Linked DNA regions of Arabidopsis thaliana. The protein of the gene in region 2 interacts with the protein of the main gene of each other region in a pairwise test. Each region holds a gene or a part of one and is shown on either strand. Other genes may lie near its edges.

Region 1 (3,548 bases), on a different chromosome or scaffold from region 2:
GTTTGAAGCCAAGCAAACGCATCAGGTGTGTCACAAGAAGCCATTAGAGCTAATATTGAATATCTAGTTGTTGTTCTAGATATGTGTGGTATAGAGAGTATATGATTAGAAGACTAGATTTATCATTTATATATAGAGAGAACATTTTAATGAGTGGAAGAAAAGTAAAGGAAGAAAGATTCGCTTATTTTTTTCAAAAGGTAAGCTAAACAAAATCATGAACTATTTTACGTAAACCAGAAAATATAGAGCTACGCACGAACACGAGACGTCTCTTTAGTAAAATATTGAAAATTTGAAATGTGATAATGATTAAGAGTCCTGCAAATTATGAGATAACGTACAAGGAAAAAGGTTTAGATGATAATTAGAGTAGCTAGACCGTTAAGAGGGATGTAATTAAATTGATAAAGTACGTGCTATTCAAGATTCTTCCATATGTGGATTTCAACCCGAATTTCCAAGAAATATTCTTGATTAGGCCGACGAATATTGTTATTCGATGCCTCTATTCTACTCAATAATGTTTCTTCGTCTTTATTTAGTTTACTAATTATATGTTTGATACATAAATAAATACGAATTATGGAGTGTGTTTGTATATACATAAATACGAATACGAATTATGGAGTGTGTTCAAATAATTATACATAAATAAATAAATACGAATTATGAATTATATACAAATATAAATTATATACACTTGAAGCCTGACGATTACAATAGCAGCTGATCATTATCTTCGGGGTGAATTCAAATTATGGATTGTGTTTGATTTCCTCAAGTCTTAATTTTCATCTACTTTTCAAACGACTAATTAATAGTGGCTACATAACTAACGACTCGATGATAAACACTCCAAAAAGCAATCAATCACTTGAGCAAAAGTTCAAAAGAAAACACTCCAAAAAGCAAACGCAAACACCAAACAAAACAAAACTCAAGTAGAGTTTTAGATAAAGCAACAGTAGAATTTTAGAAAAACCAAATTAAAACACCAAGTGTTTATGCCAAATAAATTGGCTAGACGAAGCAAAACAAGAACACATTATTGATAGTGTAGATTTGGAGTTCACTAATTGATAGTGCAACGTTTGAGTTCAACATTGCCTAGGCTGAGTGAGAATATCTTATTGTTTCCATCCACGAATTTGAGAAAGTAACTACATGTTACCTTTACCTTCTTGTTATTCTCGTCAACCTCATTTATCTCGGTCATCTCAACATGAACAAGTTCCGCAAACCTCCATTTGTTTTCATTATCTCATTTTGATTGTCCCAATCATGTCAAACTCATCTTTTATCGCTTGCACCCCCTTCTTCATGTAGTCTCCACCACCGGTTGCATAGGCGTCTTTAAAAATGCTCTCGAGTTCCCTCCAGTTGTCTTTGCCCCAAGTTCCTGGTGTCTCAAGACACCATAATTCATATATAACTCATAATTCATATTTATTTATGTATATAATTTGTATTTGTATATAATTCATAATTTGTTTAGCTTCAAGTGTACATAATTTGTATATAATTTAATTTCACAGTTTATAGATATATTTAGTAAACCTTTATCATTCATGATCAATTGATCATATGATTGTTTCATTTGTTCAACGAGAACACTCATAGGGTGGGAAATGAGATGATAATTATTGAAATGATCATATAAACAATTGTAGGAAGTCGTAATTTATCTGCAAATAAAATTAGAATATTATTAACTACACTAATTTACTAGTTTGTGTTGTGTTATCCTTGTAACATCATATAGATACAAACCACTGAACCAGTAAGATTGTTTGTTTGTTGAAAAAAAAAAAATGGTTTTATGAACCAATAGTGGAATATATTGGGCCTCTTCCAACATTATAGACCCATCTAAAAATTGCTATTAACTCCAACTTAATATATTGGGCCTATTCCAAAACATTATAGGCCCATAAAATTTAGGCCTTTAGAATATCTAACACGGTTTTGCCGCAACTTCAGTTTCCACTAAAATCGGAACAACAAATTCACACTCTCTCCGCCGCGCACAGACTCACCGACACCACCAATAATGTCTTCTTCTCCGGCGATTCTTCCCGTCACCAACCAGCAAGCAGCCACTCAATCTCAACCTCCAATCAATTCTCACGCCTTCCGTACTTTCCTCTCACGCCTCTCGTCCTCTCTCCGCGAAAGCCTCTCTCAACGCCGTCCATGGCTAGAACTCGTAGATCGGAGCTCCTTCGCTAGACCTGACTCTCTCACCGATTCCTTCTCCCGGATCCGTAAGAATCTCGCTTACTTCAAAGTCAATTACTCCGCAATTGTCTCGTTAGTCCTTGCTTTCTCCCTCCTCTCGCATCCATTCTCGCTTCTCGTCCTCCTCTCTCTCTTAGGCTCCTGGATGTTTCTCTACCTCTTCCGATCTTCAGATCAGCCTTTGGTTCTCTTTGGTCGTAGTTTCTCAGATCGTGAGACTTTGCTTGGTCTTGTTTTGACTACGATTGTGGTTGTGTTTATGACGAGTGTTGGATCTTTGTTAACATCGGCGTTAACGATTGGAATCGCGATTGTTTGCTTACATGGTGCGTTTAGGGTTCCTGATGATTTGTTCTTGGATGAACAAGAGCCTGCTAATGCTGGTTTACTCTCGTTCATTGGTAATTCTGCTGCTACTTCTGCTGCTGCTTCTGTTGTTGCAGGACGAGTTTGAGAAGCTCGAATTTGATGATTCTGATCCTAGAGAACAAACGAAACCTGGATTCTCAGGGTTTTTAGTTATGTTTTGAGTATAGATTCGATGAAGATCTGTAAGTGTTAGATCTAAAGATGCATTGTTGTGTTGTATTCTTCAATTTCGTCACAATTTAGAAAATTTGGAGCTGATCCTTCTCAAGTATTGTAAGATCTCATTTACCTTAAATCAATTTGATACTCTTTGCCTTCATCACCATATGTTTGAGTTAGATTTAGACTAAACCAGTGAAGATTATAGTTTGACCAAAGTATTAAGGATTAAACAAACAACATGTAGTTTAACAACATACGTGGTAGATGTAAATCTTGTAACTAGTTATGTCTATGTCTCTCTAGCTACCAACTATTTTATTCTTCCACAAGTTTCCTCTATCTCGAAAGCGAACAGCCAATACTGTGTACGAATTTGCTGATAGTAAGAGGGTTATATCATGGGAAAGTTTCCCACTGGATTTACATGTTTGGCCAATTTGACAAAAACGACACACGTTTAGTTTGGGGATTTTGTCTTAAAAACTCGGCTGCCAAAAACAAACTGAAGATTCGGTCACCTGAATTGTCTTTTTCGGTCAAAGTCTCACTGAGTTGCTTCTTTCTTAGATATAATATAGGTGACCTGTTTTTAATCTTCATAACATGAGATATATTTTCGTGGAATGAGTTGTGTCTTGTGAAATCTTTTTTCTTTGGTTTTAATGTTAAGAATGTCTTGTGAAATCTTTTCCTGGATTCTAATTATTGGTGAGAATGTGAGATAAAAACAACACTTAGGTACTAAGTTACTAACCATTAAACATGAAGATAAATAG
Region 2 (3,760 bases):
CATCCTCTGCCAAATCAAACATAACAATCCAGATTAGCAATCAGTGCCAGACTATGAACCTAAAAAAACTATGCCAGTAACTTACATACGCTGATAATATAACCCAAAATATACTGTACATTCCATCATCCCTCCATTAGTCTCAAATTTTCCACATTCCAAACTATATGTCCCACTATTTATACCAAACTCAGATCACATTTCCAGGTTCAGTTTATCCTCTCTAGCAATAGTGAACGGGTCTAAAAACAGAAACCTAACCATCAAAAACAAGCACCCAATACAGACACAAAAACAAAAAATGGAGTACCTAGAGTCCAGAACGAGCAATCAGTCTTCACAGGAGCACTAAGATCGTGCTGAAAATTGACAAAATTTAGACAATTGAATCGAGTTATATATACCACATCGAATAACTCAGATTTATGAGACAAACGGATCAAAAACATTGAAAGATAGCGAAAGAAACTGACATTGAGATAGGGAGGGTTGCCTTTGATGCCAACTTCGATATGTTTCGACTGGATTTTGCAGTGGAATGACTTTGGATGAACATTTGGCGGCAAAGTTATGTACATGTTCACTTCTTCCAGGGTTTGATCCCACTCAAATACCTTTTGACCTATAACCATCGGAAATCGAAGAACATTCAAACCAAATCTCGTGAAATGGAATCAGCTGAAATTAGAGAAATAGAGCGAGGGGATAGAGAAAGCGAGAAACCATTGTGAATGAAATCGTGTCTCTTCTCTGGCGCAAGCTTCTCCGCCATATCTAGGGTTTTCTTCTCCGTTCCCGGCGAAATCGATCACCGTTGATAGTAGTTGTTCTGGTTCCTTTTCAATTCGTCTCAACATTGGAGGACAGGCATTTATGATTCAGTCCTTTCATAATCATGTATTTTCTTTTAGGGTTCTTAGTTTTAGTTATTTACGCTTAGATCCCTTTTCTTGAGGTACACTCCGTTTCTAACTTGGAAGTCAAAACTCCATGCCGTTTTATTGAAGTTCTTCCAAGTTCCAAGAAACATTTTTTTGTTGTCGCCAAAGTAGAACACTCTTTCACAATTCCACAGAAAATTTAAAGATGAGAAGTGGGTCTATTCAATGCATAGAATACGGAGGAAAACAAAATTGAAAGAAGAGTAATGTGTAGGTCTACCACAAAACATGGTCCATTTTAAAGCCTTAAACGTAGCCAAGTGTGTTAGTTTTTTAGCTTTTCAATGTCCTTTGGGACAAGAGATACACTGTACCCATTTCCCCCTTTCAGTTTCTTCAACGTAGACAGGGTAGTTATTCAATTTTCTCATATTAAAACGTTATACGTGATCAAAGACTTTGACTTATAACAGAAGAATAATTTTGATCAATCAAAAAGTTGTTTGATAATGTAAATTATGGTCTTCCATTTCGCTAATCCAAAAACTTACTTTCTCAATTCCATTGGTCAACTTGTTTCATTTGATGAAATTCGATATGATACATGTTTGGCCACTGCATGAATCGAACGACAGTTAGATCTCAAATCGGTTTGGTTTCGGGTACATGAGTTCTAGTTATGAAAAAACAATCATCACGACTCACGAGTGTATATATAACTAGTTCATTGAATAAGTTGTCGGCTAATATTCGGTTTTGACCGGTGAGACTGTTAACTAAAATGAATACTATTAGAGTAGAGACCCACTTGAAGTGTACTATAATTTTAAAAGCCGGCCAGCAACCACGGGCCAGACTCTGCCTCTCGCAAAATCTTGACCGTCCGATTGAGAACCGGACAAAATGCTGTACACGACGGTTCCTTAAAAAACTATTGTAACAACTGTTGCTTTCGTAACACATTCCAGAACCACAAATTAAATTGATAAACACGTTAACATGAAACCCAAAACACTGTTTGACTTTAGTCTATTTTATCTTAAACAAATGTTGCTTCGTTATGCTACATCGTAGCTGTGTTCAAAGCAACTTGCTTTGGATAATTTATCATAGCCTTTAAAACAGGTAAGCATCGAGTCTTGAAACTATCCTAAAACACGTTGAATCAGTCCCACAAACTTTTTTTGTCTTTACTCTAAGCGTTTATATGAAGCTTTGATCAAAGTCCATAACTCACTAATAATCACAATGGGGTCTGAAAATGGCAGCTTGATGAGAAGAAACGAAGTAGACGAGAATGTAGCGTTAATCTTTGGCGTCACCGGGCTTGTGGGTCGAGAGATTGTTAAGACGCTATTAATGTCTAAACCAGGATGGAGAATCTACGGCGTAGCGCGTAACCCGGAGATCAATTCCATGACGAAGATGTACAACTTCATCTCCTGCGATCTGCTTAACGCATCTGAGACTAAACAGAGGTTGTCTCCATTACAAGACATCGTGAGTCACGTGTTTTGGGTCACGTGGTCTGGTGAGTTTCCATTGGATACCGACGAATGTTGCGTACAGAACAAGACGATGCTGATGAACGCTTTGGACGCGATTCTCCCAAACGCTAAGAGGTTAAAGCATTTCTCGCTTCAAACGGGGATGAAGCATTATGTGTCTTTGGTGGAAGAGACAATGGCTCGTGGAGAAGGTTCGAGTTTGTATTATTACAGCGAGGAGTGTCCAAGAAAGAGCTCTGGGAAGAATTTCTACTATGTTTTGGAGGACTTGCTGAAGGAGAAGATCACTCGTAGTTCCGTTGTTTGGTCGGTTCAAAGACCTGGTTTGCTAATGGGAAGCTCTTCAAGAACTCTGTACAACTTCATGGGAAGTCTTTGTGTTTATGGAGCGATGTGTAAGTATTTGAATCTTCCTTTTGTGTTTGGAGGAACAAGAGAATGTTGGGAAGAGAGTTACATAGATGGCTCTGATTCGAATTTAGTCGCGGAGCAGCATATATTCGCTGCAACAAGTGGGAAAGTACGCGAGAAAGGGGAAGCTTTTAACGCCATTAATGGAGTAGGGTTTACTTGGAAGGAGATTTGGCCGGAAATAGGGAAGAAACTTGGTGTACAAGTTAACGAAACAACCATGTTTGATGAAGGTTTCTGGTTTGGGAGAGAGATGGTTGAGAGAAAACATGTGTGGGATGAGATTGTTGTGAAGGAGAAGCTTGTTAGGACAGAGATTGAGGATTTGGCGAATTGGTATTTCTTGGATGCTCTGTTTAGATGTCCGTTTAAGCTTCTTGGGAAAAGAGAAAAAGTAGATAGGTTTGGGTTTAAGAGGAAATATAGAACCCTAGATTCGGTTTTGTATTGGATTGATGTGATGAGAGATGAAAAACTCATTCCTTTGTAACACATGTTGTACATTAGCAATGTAGATCACGGTATATATGTACTTGATCAATAATCCTCATGTAAGTTTTGTTTGTTTGAATAATGAGCTTTCCACAAATCCTTTTAAGCTAAATCATTAAACATAAATCCTTTGCAGTGAAATGCAATAGCTAAGTTAGATTCCAAGCAGTGGATAACCAAAATTCCAGTCAGGTTTCGTAAACGCGTCCGAACAAATGTGAATGTATTGTGACATATAATAAGATGAAGTAGTGGCAGACCATACTTGAGACAACAACAAGATGATTAGCTGGACTCAGTTTGTTTATCGATGTTATTGCATACGTAGTACAGATGAGTTTTGGCTGTCAAGATGACGTAAGAGTAAAGACATTTCATCCCATGTCTCCACTCTTCACTCAGCGAGATCAAGAATCATTCCAACAAGTAAGAGAAAACAGGGGAGAGTAAAAACTGAAGAGAAGATTC

Evidence for each region.
Region 1: the proteins of AT5G58750 (region 2) and PRA1.B2 interact in a two-hybrid assay, tested with the Arabidopsis thaliana proteins (one large-scale study listed by BioGRID).

What each region holds. Positions count from the first base shown.
Region 1 is NC_003071.7:16,863,881-16,867,428, reverse strand, and holds PRA1.B2 (prenylated RAB acceptor 1.B2), read left to right. Parts: upstream 1-1,841; 5' UTR 1,842-2,053; coding exon 2,054-2,695; 3' UTR 2,696-2,983; downstream 2,984-3,548. Other genes in the region: AT2G40390 (neuronal PAS domain protein), read right to left, coding at 1-44. UniProt on the Arabidopsis thaliana protein: May be involved in both secretory and endocytic intracellular trafficking in the endosomal/prevacuolar compartments.
Region 2 is NC_003076.8:23,726,757-23,730,516, forward strand, and holds AT5G58750 (NAD(P)-binding Rossmann-fold superfamily protein), read left to right. Parts: upstream 1-1,831; 5' UTR 1,832-2,129; coding exon 2,130-3,290; 3' UTR 3,291-3,386; downstream 3,387-3,760. Other genes in the region: AT5G58740 (HSP20-like chaperones superfamily protein), read right to left, coding at 1-6, 311-359, 474-622, 724-772.